2 linked regions of the Callithrix jacchus genome follow. The protein of the gene in region 1 interacts with the protein of each later gene in a biochemical or structural test. Links are inferred from orthologs where the notes say so. Each region holds a gene or a part of one and is shown in the gene's direction. Other genes may lie near its edges. The genes, in order: PRKACA and CREB1.

Region 1 (11,557 bases):
ACATTAGTCACGCTGGTCTCGAACTCCTGACCTTGTGATCCATCCGCCCGCTTCAGCCTCACAAAGTGCTGGGTTTAAAGGCGGGGAGCCACTGCGCCTGACCCAGTCTACCACTTTCTTTCTTTTTTTTTTTTTTGAGACGGAGTTTCACTCTTGTTACCCAGGCTGGAGTGCAATGGCACGATCCCGGCTTACCACAACCTCCGCCTCCTGAGTTCAAGCAATTCTCCTGCCTCAGCCTCCTGAGTAGCTGGGATTACGGGCATGTGCTACCATGCCCAGCTAATTTTTTTATTTTGAGTAGAGACGGGGTTTCACCTTGTTGACCAGGATGGTCTCGATCTCTTGACCTTGTGATCCACCCTCCTTGGCCTCCCCAAGTGCTGGGATTACAGGTGTGAGCCACCGCGCCCGGCCGCAGTCTACCACTTTCTAGCCCAGTGAGGGCTCTGCTCTCTAAATGCTGAGGGAGAGCCTTGGGGACAAGTAGTGAGGGTGGTTCCCCCTTCTCAGAAGACCATGTGGGATTCCTGGCAGGTAGACGACCAGCAGTCCCAAAGTGCAGATGCATGGGGCCCCTCAGAGTGGTAGCAAACCCAGGAACATCAGGGGGTTGAAGACAGCTCTGCCCACATTGGCCACCCTGGTGCACTAGACTTGGTGCTGAAACCAGCGGCTGAGTTGGCAGTGAAATAGTTAATCTCATGGGAAGTTGGGGCAGGCAGGTGACCGCAGACCTGATCAGTCTTCTCCTGTGTACAGTGGGAATAACAGCAGCTCCCACCCCATAGGGTCAGAACAAAGCATAGAAAACACAGTGAGGGCTGGTCCCTTGTAGCCCTAGGTGGTGGTTAAAAGGACAAGTCCATAGTGTAAGAATCTCTCAGGCTGCACATTTAAAATTCGAGCACTCAATGTATCCCCTCATTTGTTTTCTTATTATTATTACTACTTTCTTTTTTGTTTGTTTGTTTGTTTTGAGACAGGGCCTCACTCTGTCATCCAGCCTGGAGTGCAGGCTCAGCCACGGCTCACTGCAGCCTCGACCTCCCGGGCTTGAGCAGCCCTGCCACCGCTACCTTCTGAGTAGCTAAAGCTACAGGTGCCCACCACTACACCCAGCTAATTTATTTTTTATTTTTTATTTTTTTGAGATGGAGTTTCCCTCTTCTTGCCCAGGCTGGAGTGCAATATCACAGTCTTAGCTCACTGCAACCTCCACTTCCTGGGTTCAAATGATTCTCCTGCCTCAGCCTCCCAAGTAGCTGGGATTATAGGCATATTCCACCACGCCCGGCTAATTTTTATATTTTTAGTAGAGATGGGGTTTCACTATGTTGGTCAGGCTGGTCTCGAACTCTTACCTCAGGTGATCCACCCACCTCAACCTCCCAAAGTCCTGGGATTACAGGTGTGAGCCACCGCACCTGGCCAATGCTTTTTATTTTTTGTAGAGACAGGGTTTTGATGTTGTCCAGGCTGGTCTTGGGCTCCTGTATTCAAGCAATCCCTCCATCTTGGCCTCCCAGGGTATAATTATTTTTTTGAGACAGTCTCACTGTGCCGCTGAGGCTAAAGTGTAGTGGTATGATCACAGCCCACTGCAACCTCAATCTCCCAGGCTTTAAATGATCTTCCTGCCTCAGCCTCCTGAGTAGCTGGAACTTTTCTGAGACAGAGTCTTACTCTGTCCCCCAGGCTGGAGTGCAGCAGCATGATCTCCACTCACTGCAACCTCCACCTCCCAGGTTCAAGAGATCTTCCTGCCTCAGCCTCCCAAATAGCTGGGATTACAGGCACCCACCACCATGCCCGGCGAATTTTTGTATTTTTAATAGACATGGGATTTCACCATGTTGGCCAGGCTGGTTACAAACTCATGACCTCAAGTGATCCAACCGCCTCGGCCTCCCAAAGTGCTGGAATTACAGACATGAACCACCTTGCCCCGTCTCTCCCCATATTTATTTATTTTTGCTTTTTTATTTTTATTTTTCTAAGACTCAGTCTCACTCCTGTCTGCCAGTCTGGAGTGCAATGGTGCAATCTTGGCTCACTGCAATCTTCACCCCGTGGGTTCAAGCAATTCCCCTGCCTCAGCCTCCCAAGTAGCTAGGATTACAGGCGCCTGCCACCATGCCTGGCTCATTTTTGTATATTTGTTTAGTAGAGATGGGGTTTCACCATGTTGGCCAGGATCATCTTGAACTCCTGACCTCAGGTGATCTGCCCGCCTCGGCCTCCCAAAGTGCTGGGATTACAGGCATGAGCCACCACATCTGCCCTTTTAAAAATTATTTATTTATTTAATTATTTTTTCCAAGACCAAGTCTTGCTGTTACCTAAACTGGAGTGCAGTGGTGCGATCTCGGCTGACTGCAAACTCCGCCTCCTGGGTTCAAGCAGTTCTTCTGCCGTAGCCTCCTGAGTAGCTAGAATTACAGGCATGTGCCACCATACCTGGGTAATTTTTTTTTTTTTTTTTTGAAGACAGGGCCTTGCTCTGTCACCCAGGCTAGAGTGCAATGGTGTGATCTCAGCTCACTGCAACCTCTGCCTCCTGGTCCAAGTGATTCTCCTGCCTCAGCCTCCCTGGTCCTAGTGATTCTCCTGCCTCAGCCTCCCAAGTAGCTGGGATTACAGGTGCGTGCCACCATGCCTGGCTAATTTTTTTGCACTTTTGGTAGAAACGGTGTTTCACTGCATTGACCAAGCTGGTCTTGAACTCCTGACCTAGTGATCCACCTGCCTCAACCTCCCAAAGTTCTGGGATTACAGACATCAGCCACTGTACCTGGCCTGTCTTCCCATATTTTATACTTCAATTAAAAAATAGTAGGCCAGCACGATGGCTCACATCTGTAATCCCAGCACTTTGGGAGGCCAAGGTGGGCAGATCACCTGAGGTCAGGAGTTTGTGACAGCCTGGCCAACATGGTGAAACCCTGTCTTTACTAAAAATACAAAAGTTAGCCAGGCATGGTGGTGGGTGCCTGAAATCCCAGCTACTCAGGAGGCTGAGGCAGGAAAATCGCTTGAACCCAGGAGGCAGAGGTTGCAGTGAGCGGAGATCACACCACTGCACTCCAGCCTGAGCGAGAGAGCAAAACTCTGTCTCTAAAAAATAAATAAATAAATAAATAAAATAATAATAGCTGACATTTATCTGGCACTAACATCATGTGGGCCACTGTCTAACCCCCTTTGCCAAGATGAACTCGTTCATTCCTCAAAACTACCCCATTTTGCAGATGAGGAAAACTGAGGCCTAGAGAGGTAAGATCAGTTGCCCAAAGTCATGAAGTTCATCGGAGACCAGGCTGGGCTCTGAACTGGATCTTGTCTCCAGGTCTTGGCCCACAGCTGCTTTGCTGGGCTGTGTCTCAGCAGAGATGAGAATGACGGTTTTCAAGCCTGTTTCCTGGGTTGCTAAATGGAGGCCGTGGATACAAGACAGGCTGGCAAGGCATTCAGATGAGACAGTGTGGACAGCGGCCGGCCGGGGAACTTTCAACATTAGCTGGGTGGCGATGTTCACCTTGGGGTGCCGTGGGGCCGAGGAGTGGGCATCGGGAGGGACTTCCCTTGAACCAGCTCTGGAGCAAAGCCCTTGGGATTGGCACAGAGAGAACAGGGCCAGCTGGGGGCCAAGGTGACAGCTGAGCCCCCCAAGGGCGCCTGCTACCCGAGCCCCTGAGGCCTCCACCCCAGGCCCGGCCTCCCCAGAGAAGGCGCTGGAGGAACCGCCAAATCCCAAGGCTATAAATACCCCAGCTGGCGCCGGCCCTGGCCGTGGAATGTCGGTCAGAACTGGGGCGAGTGGGGGTGGGCTGGCCTGCCTGGACGCCTCTCTCTGTTCCCCTGGGAGTGACCCCCTGAGACTCTCTGTACCCCACTTTGCATGGAGTGGTGTTTGGATCCCACCTCTCTGGAGCAAGGGAGGCCCAACCAGGGCCCTGAGAGGCACCAGAACCTCAGGTTCCCGGTTGAGGCAGCTGCACCCCACTTTCTACCAAGTATCTCCCCAGAAATCACCTGAACCCACCTCGGCGCGACGGGGTTCTCTAACTCTCCCTTCTCTCCCTTTCAGTGAAAGAATTCTTAGCCAAAGCCAAAGAAGATTTTCTTAAAAAATGGGAAAGTCCCGCTCAGGTAAGGCTGCCAGGTGCAGAGCCCAGGGAGGGAGGGGTGAGCTGGTGACCCCCCAGTCCCCTGGCTGTGTCCCTGTGACACAGCTAGAATTTCAGGAACCCCGTGGAAGGCTCCACACCCTCCCCATTGACTCCCTAGGTGCCCATGGGGGCTCCTGCATGGAGACACCTGACTGCCGAATCCCAGGCACCCCTATCCCACCACCCCTTCCAACGGCCCGCCCCTGCCCCCAGCACAGCTGCCAGCAGCTCCCGGGCCCTAGGCCAGAGCCGGATCTGGCCCCTGCCACCCGCCTTAAGGAATCTCTGCCATCTTGATTTTCCACCCCCTGTCCTCACCCCGCTCAGCCCATGTGCTCCCCGGGGCCCCCTCTGCCGGTGGTGGAGAGGATGCCCCAGACCTTAGCCCGGGAGGCTGCAGGGAGGGTATGCCCTGAGCCTGCTGACCCCTCTGCCGACAGAACACAGCCCACTTGGATCAGTTTGAACGAATCAAGACCCTCGGCACGGGCTCCTTCGGGCGGGTAATGCTGGTGAAACACAAGGAGACCGGGAACCACTATGCCATGAAGATCCTCGACAAACAGAAGGTGAGCCGGCCCGCCCCGCTCAGGTCCTGCCTGCCAGGCCTTGGCCTGGACTATGTCTACTCTTTGGAGTCCCCATTCCACCCATTCACTCACTTGCCTTTTTTGAGACAGTCTCACTCTGTCACTCAGGCTGGAGTGCAGTGGTACAATCTCAGCTCACTGCAACCTCCCCCTTCCGGATTCAAGCAATTGTCCTGCCTCAGCCTCCTGAGTAGCTGGGATTACAGGTGCCCACCATCATGCCTGGCTAATTTTTGTATTTTTAGTAGAGATGGTGTTTCACCATGTTGGCCAGGACGGTCTTGAACTCCTGACCTCAGGTGATCCACTTGCCTCAGCCCCCCAAAGTGTTGGGATTACAGGCATCAGCCACCGCACCTGGCCACTTGCTTTGTTTTCGGGGGAGGGGACAGGGTTTCATTCCGTTGGCCCAAGCAGGAGTGTAGTGATGCACTCAGAGCTCACTGCAGCCTGAACCTCCTGAGCTCAAGCGATCCTCCTGGTAGCTGGGACTACAAGCACACACTACCATGCCTGACAGGGGGTCTTGCTATATTGCCCAGGCTGGTCTTGAACTCCTGGCCTCAACTGATCCTCCTACCTCAGCCTCCCAAAGTGCAGGGATTACAGGCATGAGCCACCATGCCAGGCTCACCCACTATTCCCCTAATCCCCATAACATGCCATCTCCAGGGGTCAGAAGGGCCTTATTCTGCTTTCCCAAGGCTCCCTCTCCAGGCCAGCCATGGATTCGAAGCCAGGCACTGTGACACAGAGTCAGACACCAGCCCAAAGGGAGGAGGCCAAGAGCATTCTTGGGGGAAGTGGTGTTTACGTGGACTTTCTTCCTGCAAATATTTTTGTGACCTAACTTAATACCAGGCACTGCTATAAAGCAGCAATGTAACCAATAGAAATGTAACCCAAGCCACAGAAGTGATTTTACTTTACGGTTTGCTCCATCAAAAACAGTAAAAAGAGGCATGGTGGCGCACGCCTGCAGTCCCAGCTACTTACTAAAGAGGCTGAGGTGGGAGGGTCGTTTGAACTCAGCCTAGACAAAACAGTCAGACCCTATCTTGTAAAAAAAAAAACCTGTAATTAAAAAAGAAAGTGAAAGAAACTAGTGACATTCATGAAGTTCATTTTAATGACATGTTTTGGGTTGTTTTGTTTTGTTTTTTGAGAGAGTCTCACTCTTGTCGCCCAGGCTGGAGTGCAATGGTGTGATCTCATCTCACTGCAACCTCCACCTCCCTGGTTCAAGTGATTCTCCTGCCTCAGCCTCCCAAGTAGCTGGTATTACAGGTGTCCACCACCATGCCTGGCTAATTTTTGTATTTTTAGTAGAGATGCGGTTTTGCCATGTTGGTCAGGCTGGTCTCAAACTCCTGACCTCAGGTGACCCACCCACTTTGGCCTCCCATAGTGCTGGGATTACAGGTGTGAGCCTCTGCACCTGGCCTAATGATATGTCTGGTTGGTTGCCCAGGCTGGAGTGCAATGGTGCCATCTCAGCTCACTGCAACTTCCACCTTCCAGGTTCAAGTGATTTTCCTGCCTCAGCCTCCCAAGTAGCTAGAACTACAGGCATGCACCACCACGCCTGGCTAATGTTTGTATTTTTAATAGAGAAAGGGTTTCACCACCAGGCAAGGTGGCGCATGCCTGTAATCCCAGCAGTTTGGGAGGCTGAGGTCAGTGGATCACCTGAGGTCAGGAGTTCAAGACCAGCCTGGCCAACATGGTGAAACCCCATCTCACTGAAAATACAAAAATGAGCAAAAAACAAAATTATCTGGACATGGTGGCGGGCACCTGTAACCCCAGCCACTTGGGAGGCTGAAGCAGGAGCATTGCTGGAACCCAGGAGGCAGAGGTTGCCATGAGCCTAGATTGTGCCATTGCACTCCAGCCTGAGGGATAGGGTGAGACTCCATCTCAAAAAAAAAAAAAATGAGAAAGGGTTTCACCATGTTGGCCAGGCTAGTCTTGAACTCCTGACCTCAGGTGATCTGCTCACCTCAGCCTCCCAAAGTGCTGGGATTATAGGTGTGCGCCCCCGCACCCGGCATGATGTGTTTGAATTAAGCCAGTATAGCTATAGTGTCACCATTTTCATAGAATATCAATGTGAAATATCATTAATGAGACAGTTTACATTCCTTTAGGTTTTTTTCCAGTCCTCCATGATTTTGGAAACGTTTTCTCTTTCTCTGTACCAAAGTATCTTTAAAACCAGTGTCCACCGTATGCGTACAACAGGTCTCCACTCTGATGGTAAATTCTCCCTGGAAAGATGAGAAAAAATAGAGAAGTTGAAAAAGCAGATTCACGTGCCCAAGATGTTCCAACCATGCCTGAAAGTCACCCAGTCCCTACATCAAGCGTTCCATTTTTATTTTGTTTTTGAGACAGAGTTTCGCTCTTGTCGCCCAGGCTGGAGTGTAATGGTGCGATCCCAGCTCACTGCAACCTCTGCCTCCTGGGGTCAAGCAATTCTCGTGCCTCAGCCTCCCAAGGAGCTGGAATTACAGGTGTTCACCACCATGCCCAGCTAATTTTTGTATTTTTAGTAGAGATAGGGTTTTGCCATGTTGGTCAGGCTGGTCTCAAACTCTTGACCTCAGGTGACCCATCCACTTTGGCCTCCCAAAGTGCTGGGATTACAGGCATAAGCCACTGCAGCTGGTCTAATGATATGTTTATTTGTTTGTTTGGTTTTTTTTTTTTTTTTTTTTGAGACGGAGTTTCGCTCTTGTTGCCCAGGCTGGAGTGCAATGGCATGATCTCGACTCACCGCAACCTCCCCCTTCTCGGTTCAAGTGATTCTCCTGCCTCAGCCTCCTGAGTAGCTGGGGCTACAGGCATGTGCCCCCACGCCCAGCTAATTTTGTATTTTTTTTTTTTTTTTAGCAGAAACAGGGTTTCTCTATGTTGGTCTGGTTGGTCTCGAACTCCCTACCTCAGGTGATCCGCCCGCCTTGGCCTCCCAGAGTGCTGGGATTATAGGCGTGAGCCACCGCACCAGCCTATGTCTGGTCTTTTAAACTGGTATCCTCCCAGTGTGGGCCTCTAGGACTCCTATTTTGATTCCGTGAGAGACTAGGTGCCAGGTACCTGCTCAAGTCATGTGCTGTAGGGGACAGCTGATGGCTGAGGTTCATGTTGCTGTGTGGAATGTTCTAGACAATGGAAAGGCAGTTCCTAAATCCCTCACCTCTTGGTCTTCTCCTGCCTGTCTTTTCAATTTCAGCTCAGCTGCCCCTTCCTCCAGGAAGCCCTCTCTGGTTCCCCCTCCCCCAAACCATGCCAGGTACTTTATGTGGGCTCCTTAGGGGCTGCTGCTTCTCCACAAGCCCAAGATGCCTGCCATCATGGCTCTGACCTCTCTGGGGGTAACCCATGTATTCTTTGCCCTGAACTCTGAGCCATGCAAGAACAAGCAGCCTCTAGCCTCCCTTACACTGTGTCCTCAGCATCAGCCACGGGCCCAACAGGCCACAGGCATGCAAATGATTCTGGCTGAAGGACCCAGCCAGGCCCTGGCACCGCTAGTTCCAGGCATCAGGGGAAATGAGGCCCCTCTCACCTCTCCTTCCTCTCTGCCCTCCCCTCCTACCCTTCCCAGGTGGTAAAGCTGAAACAGATAGAACACACCCTGAATGAAAAGCGCATCCTGCAAGCCGTCAACTTTCCGTTCCTCGTCAGACTGGAGTTCTCCTTCAAGGTGGGGTCCCCGCGCCAAGGGACGGGGTCACTGCATTGGGTCCTAGCCTTCCGGCCCCCAGGGCTAGGGTCAGAGCTGAGGACAATCAGTGGCCACCCACTTTTGTGGAAGAAGATCGCTGGAGGAGGGAGACCAGGGGATGGGAGTCAGGCTGGGACTCTGGTGGACCCCACTTCAGTTCCTGGACTGGCCAGTTTGTAGTTAATTCCCTTGGCAAGTTACCGAACCTCAATAACATCCCTCAAAATCAGCACCTGGTTTACAGCAAGAGCCTGACCCACAGCCAGGAGCACAAACTTCGCCCCAGGCAGCCAGGATTCAGTTCCCAGCTCAGTACTTCCCGATGTGTGGCCCTGAGCAAGGGACTTCTCTCCCTGAGCCTCAGTTCTCATCTGTAAAATGGGGATCATACCAGTTCCAGCCTGGTGGAGTTGCGACAGTTCCAGCCACATCTTGAGTACCCTTTGGGAGCCATTTTGGGAGCCATCCAAGGCTGTGATCATGAGAAACAGGAGAGACCACTCAGGGCCAATTTCATTGCTGCCTGACCCAGAGAATCACAAGGGCCTGCGCTTCAAGGGACCCCACACCTGGTTTAATGCTTTGCCGCTGCTGCTCCTGCTACCTTGAGACCCTTAATAATTTTTTTCTCTTTTTTTTTTTTTTTTTTTTTTTTTGAGACAGAGTCTCACTCTGTTGCTCAGGCAGGAGTGCAGTGGCGTGATCTCAGTTCACTACAACCTCCACCTCCCGGGTTCAAGCAATTCTCCTGACTCAGCCTTCTGAGTAGCTGGGATTACAGGTGCATGCCACTATGTCCAGCTAATTTTTGTATTTTTAATAGAGATAAGATTTTGCCATTTTGCTCAGGCTGGTCTCAAACTCCCGACCTCAAGTGATCTGCCCGCCCTGGCCTCAGCCACTATGCCCAGCCTAATTTTTTTTTTAAGGCAGAGTCTCACTCTGTCACCCAGGCTGGAGTGCAGTGGTGTAATCACAGCTCACTGCAACCTTCACTTCCCGGACTGCAGCGATCCTCCCACCTCAGCCTCCTGAGTAGCTGGAACTGCAGGTGCACACCATGATGCCCAGCTAATTTTCGTATAGACAGGGCTCTTACTGTGTTACCCAGGCTGGTCTCAAACTCCCAGGCTCTAGCGATCCACCCACCCCGGCCTCCCAAAGTACTGGGATTATACGGGCATGAACCACCACACCTGGCCCTCTGTAATAATCTTTCTAACAAGGGTCACCTTTTTAATTTTGGGCCCCACTAATTCTGCAGCCCATCATGGTCCTGCTTTACAGATGACAAAACTGTGGCCTCAAAGCCTTACTCAAGCTCCCAGAGCAAGCTACTTCGGAGTTCTCTCTCTCCAGCCAGGGCAGGCTAGCCAGGTCCCGACATACCACTGAGTCAGCCCTCGCCTTCACCTTTATGACAGTAGGATGAGGGTCAACCGTGCTTCCTGGGCAGAATGAAATGCAACATGTGGGTTCAGCCAGCAAAGCACCTGGTCCCTAGAACATGATTCCTATGGGGAGCCAGGATCCCTGTTGTCATTTAATGTTTGAACACCAGCCAGGGAGGCCCCAAGGCCTTCAGATATGGTGGGAGGTTCAGGGAGTGGGCTCCTGATCAGCCGCTGCCTCCCACAGGACAACTCAAACTTATACATGGTCATGGAGTACGTGCCTGGCGGGGAGATGTTCTCACACCTACGGCGGATTGGAAGGTTCAGGTAAGCGGGCCACCCCCCCATCACACCAGGCTGTCAGGGTGTCCACAGGTGGCAGTGCACGACCAAGACCCCTGGGGATGCAGAGGAGTCCAGCATGCTTGAACACGCAAGTGAGCTCCCAGAACTCTGTGGGTTTCTGCTTCCCCTATGCTGAGAAATGAGTGATACTTCAACCACCACAAAGCCAAACAGAGCAAACATGGCAACTTAGGTGTCCAGATTGAAGCTGGTGCCAGGCGCAGTGGCTCTCGCCTGTAATCCCAGCACTTTGGGAGGCCGAGGCAGGCAGATCACCTAAGGTCAGGAGTTCGAGACCAGCCTGGTCAACATGGTGAAATCCTGTCTCTACTAAAAATACAAAAATTAGCTGGGTGGGGTGGTGGGTACCTGTAATCACAGCTACTTGGGAGGCTGAGGCAGGAGAATTGCTTGAACCCTGAGACAGAAATTGCATTGAGCTGAGGTTACACCACTGCACTCCAGCTTTGGTGACAGAGCGACATGCCATCTCAAAAAAAAAAAAAATTGGCCAGGTGCAGTGGCTCACGCCTGTAATCCCTGCACTTTGGGAGGCCGAGGCAGGTAGATCCACCTGAGGTCAGGAGTTCGAGACCAGTCTGGCCAACATGATGAAACTTGTCTTTACAAGTTACAAAAAATCTTGTGTCTTTACAAGATACAAAAAAATCAGCCAGGCATGTTGGTATGCACCTACAATCCCAGTTACTCAGGAGGCTGAGGCAAGAGAATGGCTTGAACCCGGGAGGCAGAAGTGGCGGTGAGATCATACCACTGCACTCCAGCCTGGGGCAACAAGAGTGAAACTCTGTCTTAAAAAAAAAAATTGCAGTTGGTGATTTTGTGCATTTTTTTTGAGCCCCCAAAAGTGGCATGCATCTGTAGTCCCACTATTCTTGAGGCTGAGGCCAGAAGATCACTTGAGCTCAAGAATTTGAGGTTGGGCACAGTGGCTCACCTCTGTAATCCCAGCACTTTGGGAGACCGAGGTGGGCGGATCATGAGGTCAGGAGTTCGAGACCAGCCTGGCCAACATGGTGAAACCCCATCTCTACAAAAAAAAAAAAAAAAATTAAGGCTGGGCATGGTGGCTAACGCCTATAATCCCAGCACTTTGGGAGGTCGAGGCAGGTGGATCACAAGGTCAAGAGATCGAGACCATCCTGGTTAACATGGTGAAACCCTGTCTCTACTAAAAATACAAAAATTAGCTGGGCATGGTGGTGCAAGCCTGTAGTCCCAGCTACTCAGGAGGTTGAGGCAAGAGAATTGTTTGAACCCAGGAGGCGGAGGTTGCAGTGAGCCGAGATCATGCCATTGTGCTCC
Region 2 (12,086 bases), on another chromosome or scaffold:
ACCTCAGCAATTAAGATGCAAAGGGCTACAGGTGTGGACATGAGAGAGACAATCAGGTCCCTGTGGACACACTGAGTTTGAGATGTCTATTAGACATCTATGAAACCTCAGATGCTCTTGGCCTCACTCACCTGTGGGGCCTTTGGCCTTTTATTCTGCCCCTATTGCCACTGACCAACTAAACTTAGGCAGAAACTACCTGACAGCATTTTGCCTCCTGCTTAGGTCACGAGTCACACGAGTGTCTGCTTGGTGCCCCCATAAAATTAAAGTGAGTGTGTGTGTGTGTGTGTGTGTGTGTATGTGTGTGTGTTAGGGCAGGAGGAGACAGTAGTGTTAGCAACCCTTTGACTGAATCCTGACCTCCTACCCCGATTCACTGCTTTTCCCTACCCTCATTTCCTTGGAATTATACTCCCTAAAAAAATAATAGCACAGAAGCTTTTGCCTCAGGTTGTGCTTTCTAGAAGAACAGAGGCTAAGACAACATCCAAGTGGAGATAAGAATACACAGGATTTTAAATGAGTACGGAGTTTGGGAAAGTGATTTGGGGAGAAGATAAAATTTTGAGAGTTGTCAACCTAGACATAGTAGTTATGATCAGGAGAGTGCATGATGGCACAAAAGAGTGAGCAAACAGAGAAATGCAGAAAGTAGAGAGGCTGAAAATGTTAGAATATTTGTGAGGAAAGACAATCCGTTTTGTTCATAATTTCCCCAGTCTGTAGAAGAATGCATGGCACAAAGTAGGTGCTCCACAGATATTTTCTGGAATAAATGAAATAGTCACCATGGTCTTGGGGTTAGGTAGGAAAGCAAATCACAGGAGGTGATGAACTAGGGTAGGCAGGGTTCATGGAACTTGAGTTCATAGTGAGAGTAAAAATTATATTCAACAGCAGAAACAAGAGCAAAAAATAACAGGAAAAGGAAGTTGTGATTATAGAAAAGCTCTCAAATACCACTTTATCTTTGAAGCATTTTATAATCATCTTATGGGACCTTTTCCCTATTCTGGACCTCTTTCAAGATACTTTTCTTACACTCTACCTAGTTACATCCATGTGTGCTCCTCTACTTTCAGCTCCCTGATATTGACCACATTTTCCTATTGGAAAACTGAGTCAAAAATGGGGGTCACCTGTAGTCTCAGCTACTCAGGAGGCTGAGGGCAAGAGAGTTGCTTGAGCCCAGGAGTGCAAGGCTGTCACGCACAATGTCTGCCACTGTGCACAGCCACTGCACTTCAGCCTGAGCAACACAGTGAGAGCCGAATCCCACAAAAAATTTCTTTTACAATGGAGGTGGCTTCCAAATCCCAGAGACAAAACTTGGATGCTGAAAGTAGAAATGTCAGAAAGTAGAGAGGCTGAAAATGCTAGAGTAGACCCAAGAGAGATATGTCAAAGTAGAGAGGTTGAAAATCTGGAGTATACCCAAAATATTAGTAGTAAAATAACTTGCATTGGAATGAATAAAGTTAGGTAGAAAGAGAGGCCATCAGAACAGAAGTCAAGAAGAATTCATGTTTTAATAACTGAGGCCCACTGGTCTGACAGTAAGGCCCAAGTGAATATTGGAAGCTGGCCTTCCACTTAGGAAGTTAGCAAAATAATAGGATCTGAATGAAGGTTAGCATGTATAAAAAGGAAGAATGAATACGAGGACATTTTAAAATAAACACTCACTGGCTGGGTGTGTTGGCTCACGCTTGTAATCCCAGCTCTTTGGGAGGCCGAGGCAGGTGGATCACAAGGTCAGGAGTTCAAGATCAGCCTGGCCAATATGGTGAAACCCCGTCTCTACTAAAAATACAAAAAAGTTGGGTGTGGTGGCGTGCACCTGTAATCCCAGTTACTTGGGAGGCCGAGGCAGGAGAATTGCTTGTACCTGGGAGCAGAGGTTGCAGTGAGCTGAGATCATGCCACTGCACTCCAGCCTGGGCGACAGAGCAAAACTCCATCTCTAAATAAATAAAAAAGTACAATTAAATAAAAACTCACCATATTTGTGGGTGATAATTATAGGTTAAGAGAAAATAATTCCAAAGTTTTGGTATCATGTATACTGTCATGGTAAAAGAGCAGAAAGATGAACTCAATTTTGAAAACGTATTTGACACAAGGCTAGATATCCAAGTAAAAGTTAGTAATAGGTAACATTTTGCTTAACATTGTTCCAAGTACAAACATTCTTCCAAGTATACTTCATATGTATTATGTTATGTAATCATTACAATAACACTACGAGGTAGGCGCTATTATCACCTTTATTTTACAAATGGGAAAACTGAGGCACAAGAGTGAACGATTTGCCCAAAGACATTAGCTAGTAAGTGGCTGAGCCAGTGCAATGAATTCACCACTGCCCCCGCCTCCTGCAAATTCATATTTTGAAATCTTCACCCTAAATGTGATGGTATTAGGAGGTGAGGCCTTTGGGAGGTAAACCCCTTGTGAATGGGATTAGTGCCTTATAAACGGAAACCCTGAGTGCTCTTGCTGTCTTTCTGCATTGTAAGACAAAGATAAAAGACAGCCATCTACAACCCTGAAGAGGGCCTTCACCAGAACCTGACCATGTTGGTAGTCTGATTTCAGACATCCAGCCTCCAGAGCTATGAGAAATAAATGTCTATTGTTTATAAGCCATCAAGTCTATATAGCACTTTATTACAGCAACCTGAACTCACTGAGAGCCAGGATTTGGACTCAAATGTTAAGAACTTTGCCCAGGACAACTCAGAAATTCACTATGTATTCGATAAATATTTAACAAGTAACACTCTATTCCAGACATTGTGCTGTTGCTAGGGATGGGAAAGGAGAGGAAAGGCTGGTAGTGAACAAGACAGATGTGGTCCCTACCTGCACAATTACATGGGCACTAAACAAATAATGAGAAGTATGATGAATTGGAAAGGAAAGTGATAAATTACAGTTAGGTAGGACAAATGGGTGAGAGAAAAGAATTCTATGGGAAGGAAGGGCATGTGTAATTGCCCTGAAGTGAGAGCCTATGGTAGGGAATAAAAAAAGGAGAGCCTGGAAAAAATCAAAATACTATGGCAGGAGTGCAGGCAACTAGGGGGACAGATGGAGAGAAAGACAAGTCTAGATAATGGAGCTTAGACAATGTGTGGTAAGCAAGGGGAGGCCACCAAGGCATTTAAGCAGGTCAATGATTTGATCAGATTTATATTGAAAATATTACTCTGGCAGCAGTATGGCAAATGTATTGGAATGAGGCAAGAGCAGTTTTGGAGGACCTGAATGGGTTATCATAGGACTTCAAGCAAGAGGTGACAGTGGTTTAGACCAGAATGGGAATGAAAAAACAGTCGTGGAAATAGAGGTCACAAATCCAACTTTCCAGGGAGCAGACAGATGTAGGTGATTCTGTTGTGTGTTCGAGGTGTGCTAGGTGTCTGGCATGAACTGAGGAGATGTTAAGATACCCTTAACTGAACCAGGGATTATGGGAGGAGCGTTTTGAAGAGATTATGATATACCGGTTGAGTCTGAAATGCCTTAAGTCATCCAAATGAAAAGTATACCGAAGGCAATCTGTTGGAAATACAAATGGAGGGTTCCAGAGCAAGATCCAAGCTTGAGTTATGGATTGAAGAGTCTTTGACAGAGGGTAGTTGATGCTACTGGAAGAGCATAAGACCACCTAGGAAAGTGTACATGGGAGACTTAGAAAGAGGGCCAGGGTTTAGCTCAGCATGATTCCAATGTATAAGAGGATAGATACAGGAGGAACTGGTTGTTAAAGAGCAAACACAGGTAGGGAGGAAATCTGTGACACAGACCAGAGGGAAAAGTATATTTGGAGAAGAGTGTGGTCAATTGTGTCAAATACTGGGATGAGGGCTTGTAAAATGAGAACTGAAAACGATCCGCTTCATTTACAGACATGAAGCTTGTCTCTTGACAATTCAGAGCCATTCAGGTGAGTGGTGGGGACACTGAAGTGAGCTGGGGAGTGGGATGTGAGAGACTGTCCATGGGGTAAGAGACACCTGGAGTTATTGGAGAGCGATTTAGGGAGAAATCTTTTTAAAGAATTGAGAGACTTAAGCATGTGTAAATGAAAGAGCCGGTAGAGAAGGAAAGATTGAGAGCAACAGAAGGAAAGGAGGCTCGTTAAGGGCAAAGTCCAGAAGAAAACAGTAGGGGACCTAGAGTACCAAGAATAACTCTTTCATTACAAAAGAAGTGAGTCAGGGGCGGAGTCCGGATTTGAACCCTCTCTGCTTCCTAAAGACACATCTCTTTTAGAAAAAGAATGATTAAGACTGGAGGCAGGGAGGGGTGGCTCACGCCTGTAATCCCAGCACTTTGGGAGGCTGAGTCGGGCGGATCACCAGAGGTCAGAAGTTCCAGACCAGCCTGGCCAACATGGTGAAACCCTGTCTCCAGTAAAAATACAAAAATTAGCTGGGCGTGGTGGCGGGTGCCTGTAATCCCAGCTAATTGGGAGACTGAGGCAGGAGAATCGCTTGAACCCGGGAGGCGGAGGTTGTAGTGAGCCGAGATAATAACACTACACTCCAGCCTGGGTAACAAGATTGAGACTCTGTCTCAAAAAAAAAAAAAAAAAAAAAAAGGACTTCAAAGCCCAGAGACAGAGAGAGGGCTGCAGAGTTTACTACCAAGGAGAATGGGGACCTAGTGGTGTGGCCTGGGCAACCTCTAAGAGAGCAGTTCAGTAGTTTCCAGCCACGGAAGTTCCCCTGCTGGGTTCACAGTGCTGAGGGTGCGAATCCCTTGCTGTAGAAAACAGGCTGAGGAAAGAACGCGACACAGGATGTTGTCTGGAGAAAGGCGGGGAGGTGGAATAGGGCATATTTCCAGTGGTCCAGGCAGGCCCGGGCAGAACCCGAGAGGTGCCACGGTATCCGAGCCAACGTCCCCCGGGAAACCATGCCCCGCCGGAGGCCTCCGGGTTTCTCCGCTGAGTCTCCGAAAGGAAAACTCGTCCCCACTGGGTCCCACGACGTCCCCGAACCCCAAGCCCCAGGCCCTGGGACGCTGGCAGAGGCGCAGCAGCCCTTCCTCCCCAGCCTGCACGGCTCCCGCGGTCCGTCCGCGTTCCAGCCGGAGCGGCGCTGCGCCCGCTTGCCGGCGGCGTCGGAAAGTTCCCGGGGCTGGAGGCGCTGAAGGGCAGAGCCCGCGGCTCACCGCCGCAGAGGCAGGCCTGCGCGGGGGTTTCCACTAAGTCGCTGACACCCCTCGGGAATTCCCCACTGGGCCACACACAAACCCCGTTTCCTCCTTCAAATTTCCGCCGCCGGCTTTATCGATTCGAACGCAGCGTAGCGGTTTAGACCACCCCTCCCAGCGCGGGGCTCAACCCGTCTTCGCCTTCCTCTACCGGCGCAACCTCTTCGCCTCGCCCGAAGAAGCCCGAAGGCCTTCGGCAAGTTCCGTCCCCAGCGCGGGGGTGGGGCCGCTCGAGCTCCTCCGGGCCGAGCTCGGCTGTTTCCGTGCGCGGCCGCTGCGCACTCGGCACTGGGCGGCGCTGGCTGGCTCCCTGGCTGCGGCTCCTCAGTCGGCGGCGGCTGCTGCTGCCTGTGGCCCGGGCGGCTGGGAGAAGCGGAGTGTTGGTGAGTGACGCGGCGGAGGTGTAGTTTGACGCGGTGTGTTACGTGGGGGAGAGAATAAAACTCCAGCGAGATCCGGGCCGTGAACGAAAGCAGTGACGGAGGAGCTTGTACCACCGGTAAGAGGAGCAGGAGGAGGAGGCAGGAGCCAGAGAGAGCCGGGGGGACGGAGGGGGGACGGGGAGGCGCCGGACACCCGCGCTTGGGGCCTTCCCCTCGCAGGAGGGGCCGCGGTAAAGATGGAGCCTCCGCCCGAGCCCCACAACATCGCCGCCGCTCGCAGCGAACAAAGAATAATGGCGGCGGACTGGAGCCAGCGGCGGCCGGGGCGGCAGCGACTCTGCCTGCAGCCAGCGGCGGCGCTCATGGCGGGGGGCGGCGGGCGGCGGGCGGCGGGCGGGGTGGGAGCCGGCGGCCGGGGGTGTGTGCGGGCGGCCGGCCGCGGCGAGCTGGCGCCCGCGTTCCCGCCGCCGCCGCCGGGCCGGGCGCGAAGCCGGGAGCCGGGATCCGGGAGCCGCCCCGGGGGAGGCCGCCTGCTCGGCCCTGAGTTGCCCCCAGCGCAGCTCGCTCATCCGGCCCCCGCCGCCCGCCTCGCCCCCGACCCGACCCGGCCCGGCCTCCGGGGCAGCCGCCGCCTGGGTGCCAGTGGGGGTGGAGGAGGAAGAAGGCGACAGTTGAGGGCAGAGGAGGTGAAGGTGCCTGCTGCCTTCCCGGTGGCCTCGCTGTCTGCCATGCCCGCTTCGCAAGGGGAAGAGCTGCAACGTCTGACCTACTCTTCTCTCCACTCTTTGTGCAATAAAGTTCGAAACCCAAGGTTTCCTCTCGTGCTGTATTTTATTCATGCCCTTTCCCTCCCGCTCCCACACCGTTGAGGAAATGCTGCTTTCTGCCCTGTGTTGCTTAGTTGAGAGATGAGGGCTTGTGCCTGGGGGGAATTTTTGACTCCCTCACCCCCTTGCCTTTTTTTTTTTTTTTTTAATTAATCCTGTAGTCATAGAAATGCATGCTTTTTGGGAGAAAGGGTGCTAAAAAAAAACATTTGTAGTAACTTTAAAGAACTGTTGGAATCTTATAAAAGGGAAGCTGGTGTTTGAAAACAGTTTCGGTTTTAACCCTTTTCAATAAGGTAATTATCACTTTGAAACACTTCGTTGAAACGAGTATCAGCGGACGTACTCTTGTTTTACATCATTTCGCGGGGTGCAGCCTTGTCAACCGCGTTTTGGGTCATCTGACTCTCCCTACACCCTCAGTCCCACCCCCCTACCATATTTCCCACAAATTTCTGTGTGAACTTTAATGAGAGACGGAATACTAATTCTAAAAATAGACTTTTAAGTATCCATTATTTGTCTCTCATGCAGTAGGTAACCCCGGTCTTGAGACTGAGAATTTAAGCCACAAGCTGTATTTTTTCTTTGCCTGTTGGGAAAAAAGGACAGCAGAAAAGTCATTTAAAAATTAAAAGACAATTTTTAAAGGACATGTCGTATGACCTATTTAAGTTTGTAATGCCATCCCAAGTTATAATTCTAACCTCGGCTTACGACTGCCTTCTAAAGGTTTAGTGGAAGATACTTTTGATTGCTGCCTCTTGAAATCTTTTATATTTATGGCTCATTTCCTGATTTAAAAGTCAAGCCCCAAGCAGTTATTTTAGGTGGTGCAAAAGATGAACAAGTTTGTTTTAAAAGTATTTGTCTGTCACTGTATGGTTGCATTGTGATTGATACACACAAGGCTTCTGGTTAGGAACAAATATTAATTAGCAGTAGAAACAGTGTCTTATTTTTCTCTATGTAAGTCACTTTTCCAAAACCTGCTTTGCTGTATTGCTTCTCTTTAAAAAAGACCACATTATCAATTTGTCATTGCCAAGAAAATAAGATACAGTAAAGAGAGGTTCTCTATAAATATTGGGAAAATGATTTTACTTCCAATCGCTGAGAAAATTATTACAGTATTGATAATGGTAGGTTACTGTTTTTCCTTAATGATGTTCTGCAAGCCACCATCAGTTGAGTAGAATTTTTTTTCTTGTTAAGCTTATACGCGGTGGCTCATGCCTGTCTGTAATCCCAGCACTTTGGGAGGCCAAGGCGGGCGGATCACCTAAGGTCAGGAGTTCGAGACCAACCTGACCATGGAGAAACCCCGTCTCTACCAAAAATACAAAATTAGCCGGGCGTGGTGGCGCATGCCTGTAATCCTAGCTACTCGTGAGACTGGGGCAGGACAATCGCTTGAACCCGGGAGGCAGAGGTGAGGGTGAGCCAAAATCACACCATTGCACTCCAGCCTGGGCAACAAGAGCGAAACTCCGTCTCAAAAATAGTAATATACGCCGGGCGCAGCGACTTATGCCTGTAATCCCAGCATTTTGGGGGGCCTGGGTGGGCGGATGACTTGAGGTCAGGCGTTGGAGACCAGCCTGACCAACATGGTGAATCTAGTCTCTACTAAAAAAAAAAAAAATTAGCCGGGTGTGGTGGCTCGCGCCTATAATTCCAGCTACTCGGGAAGCTGAGGCAGGAGAATTGCTTGAACCCAGGAGGCAGAGGTTGTAGTGAGCCAAGATCGTTCCACTGCACTTCAGCCTGGGTGACCGAGTGAGACTCCATCTCAAAAAAAGAAAAAAAAACCACAAAAAATTGTTTACTGATATGTTCTTTCTTTAGTCTTGCCCAAGAGATATTTTCATTTATTTATTTATTTATTTATTTATTTATTTGAGATGGAGTTTTACTCTTGTTGCCCAGGATGGAGTGCAGTGGCGCTGTCACGACTCACTGCAAGCTCTGCCTCCCGGGTTTAAGCGGGCCTCTGCCTCCGGAGTAGCTGGGATTATAGACTCCCATCTCAAAATTAAAATATATATATATATGTGTGTGTGTGTGTATATATACACATATATATATGTGTGTGTGTATATATACGTATATATACACGTATATATACGTATATATGTATATGACTCTTCCTTTGTGAGATTTTTAAAAAATTGTTTACTGATGGCTGGGCACGGCGGCTCGTCGTAATCCCAGTACTTTGGGAAGCCGAGGCAGGCGGATCACGAGGTCAATAGATGGAGACCATCCTGGCCAACATGGTGAAACCCCGTCTCTACTAAAAATACAAAATTTAGCGGGTCTCGTCGCACATGCCTATAATCCTAGCTATTCTGGAGGCTGAGGCAGGAGAATCTCTTGAACCCCGGGAGGCAGAGGGTTGCAGTGAGCCGGGATTGCGCCACTGCACTCCAGCCTCGGCAACAAGAGCGAGACTCCGTCTTAAAACACAACAAAAAATTGTTTACTCATGTGTTCTTTCTCTAATCTTGCCCAAAAGTTAGTTTATTTGAGACGGAGTTTCGCTCTTGTTGCCCAGGATGCAGTGCAGTGGCGCTGTCGCAACTCACTGTAAACTCTGCCTCCCGGGTTTAAGCGAATCTCAGGCTTCAACCTACCGAGTAACTGGGATTACACAGCCTCCGTCTCAAAATTATATATATACATATATGTGTATATACATATACACACACACACATACATATACCTCTTCATTTGTGAGGTTTTCTTTTGTTTACTGATGGCCAGGCGCTGCGGCTCATCCCTGTAATCCCAGTACTCTGGAAACCCAAGGCGGACCGATCACAAGGTTAATAGATGGAGACCATCCTGGCCAACATGGTAAAACCCCATCTCTACTAAAAATACAAAAATTAGTGGGTCTGGTGGTGCATACCTATAATCCCAGCTACTCGGGAGGTGGAGGTTGCAGTGAGCCGAGATCGTCCCACTGCACTCCAGTCTGGTGACAGAGCGAGACTCCGTCTCAAAAAAAAACAAAAAACAAAAATCGTTTGCTGATACGTTCTTTTTTAGTCATGCCCAAGAGATATTTTAAAATATTTGAGATAGAGTTTGGCTCTTGTTGCCCAGGATGGAGTGCAGTGGAGTGGTGGCAACTCACTGCAAGCTCCGCTTACAAGGTTTAGAGGAATCTCCGGTCTCAGCCTCCCAAGTAGCTGGAATTACAGACTCCGTCTCAAAATTTACATACATACATACATACATATATGTATGTATGTATGTATATATGACTTTTCGTTTGTTAGATTTTTTAAAAATTGTTTACTGATGGCCGGACATGGTGGCTCCCGCCTGCGATTCCAGTACTTTGGGAAACCGAGGTGGGACGGTCTTGAGTTCAATCGATTGAGACCATCCTGACCAACATGGTGAAACCCCATCTCTATTAAAAATACAAAAATTATCAGATCTGGTGGCCCGTGCCTATAATTCCAGCTACTCAGGAGGCCAAGGCAGGAGAATTGCTTGAACCCGGGAGGCAGTGGTTGCGTTGAGCCAAGATCGCGTCACTGTACTCCAGCCTGGCAACAGAGTAAGACTCCGTCTCAAAAAAATTTTAAAAAATTTGCTGATAGGTTCTTTCATTAGTCTTCCCCAAGAGTTATTTATTTATTTATTTATGAAGGATGGAGTGTCCTTGTTGCCCAGGATGGAGTGCAGTGGCGCAGTCGTGGCTCACTGCAAGCTCCGCCTCCCAGGTTCAAATGAATCTCGGCCTCAGCCTCCGGAATCGCTGGAATTACAGGCACAGGCCACCATGCCAGGCTAATTTTTGTATTTTAGTGGAGACGGGATTTCACCGTATTGGCCGGGTTGGTCTTGAAGTCCTGATCTCAGGTGATCTGCCCACCTACACCTTCCAAAGTGCTTGGATTACAGGTGTGAGCCGCCATGCCTGATCTACTTTATTATTTATACATTTATAATTTGTGATTCTTAGGAATTCCAGGTGAGACTTCAAACTTTTATATTCATTAATATTTGAACATTCATCTGGAACATGTTACTAAGTTGTACTTCCGTACTGTCCCAGCCATCAGTAAAAATTACAGCTGGATCTGCTTGAATTTTTTTTTTTTTTCATGAACACCTGTATTTAGAAAGCTAATAAATTATTTGACAGAACTGGCCTGAAGAATGTTAAAAGAACACCTCTTTGGGAATTTAAAACTTGTTACCTGTTTTGAATGAATTTTTTATTCCATTAGGAGCCTGAAAAAACTTAGAAAATTGATTTATAAAAATGGCACCTTTCTTTTTATACTTTCTGAAACTCATATTCTTGATTAGGTCTCATTAGAATTTTTGGTTTCTTCATAGAAAAGTAGCTTTATTTGTCTCTCATTCTTAAGACATTTGGTTTTGTTTGGGTACAGTATGGTTATGGTAAAACCGAGTATGTGTTCTCCTTCACCTATTTTTAAATTTTTCCTCCTCATTATAACAGTAGAGAAAATTATTTTTAACCTAATGCTTATGGTATATTACTGACATTTATAATTTTATTTATTCCATAAATAGCTTATCAAATATGAGTTGCATAAACTTTTTTACAGCCAGTTTGTGACATAGTTTTGCAAATACCTTGATAAATGGTGTAACTTTCATGGCTTCTTTATTGAATAGAGCTCAAATCTAAATTTAGGAACATAGCAAGATGTAAGGATGGAAAATGCAGGATTTTTTTTTTCTTACCCACCTGTGAACTCATCTTTACTACAGTATCACTTGAGACAACAGTTTATGGTAATTAAAATATTTATTTAGCACTCACTGTGACAGAGAATGTAGTTGAAATAGCATGAGGTTTGGAATCACAGGCCTGGGTCTGAATCCAAGCATTGCCACTACTATCATGTGCCTACCCTAAAGGAATTTTGTGTCCCAAAGGAAGTTTCTTAATCTTTCTCAACCTCAGTTTCCTCATATGTAATAATATGTTATAATAATACTTACTTCATAAGATTGTGAGAGATACAGAAAGTACCTTAGGGCTATAACTAATGATAGCTAGTCCCTTAAGCTTTATTTTAACTTCCTGCCTGTGGGCTCTTGGGCAAGTTATTTTAACTTCTCAATACCTCACTTGCTTTGCTGATCAATGTAGAATAACTACTTTAGAATTGTGGGGTTAACTATAAAGTAATAACATATTAAATTCCAGACATTGTACAAGTGCTCAAGGGTTGGCCAGGTTTTTTTGTTTTAATTTTTTTCCTGAAGTGGAATCTTGCTCTGTTGCCCAGGCTGGTGTGCAGTGACATGATCGCAGCTCACTGCAACCTCTGCTTTCTGGGTTCAAGTGATTCTCCTGCCTCAACCTCCCTAAGTAGCTGGAACTACAGGCACACACCACCACGCCTGGCTAATTTTTGTATTTTTAGTAGAGATAGGGTTTCACCATGTTGGTCAGGCTGGTCCTGAATGCCTGGGATTATAGGTGTCAGCCACCACACCTAGCTGGTCTGTTATTTAAAAAAAATTTTTTTTTTTTTATAAAGGTGGGGTTTCACCATGATGGCCAGGCTGGTCATGAACTCCTGACCTCAGGTGATCCACCCACCTCGGCCTCGCAAAGTGTTAGGATTACGGGCGTGAGCCACTG

What was found.
Region 2: the proteins of PRKACA (region 1) and CREB1 form a complex in vitro, tested with the Homo sapiens proteins (2 studies listed by BioGRID, with this or other methods). The link is inferred for Callithrix jacchus from reciprocal best matches to the Homo sapiens genes PRKACA and CREB1.

Annotation. Positions count from the first base shown.
Region 1 is NC_133523.1:12,878,772-12,890,328, reverse strand, and holds part of PRKACA (cAMP-dependent protein kinase catalytic subunit alpha), read left to right. Parts: intron 1-4,090; coding exon 4,091-4,152; intron 4,153-4,612; coding exon 4,613-4,741; intron 4,742-8,372; coding exon 8,373-8,471; intron 8,472-10,130; coding exon 10,131-10,213; intron 10,214-11,557.
Region 2 is NC_133507.1:128,981,379-128,993,464, forward strand, and holds the start of CREB1 (cyclic AMP-responsive element-binding protein 1), read left to right. Parts: upstream 1-5,516; 5' UTR 5,517-5,612; exon of another isoform or gene 5,613-5,728; intron 5,729-12,086.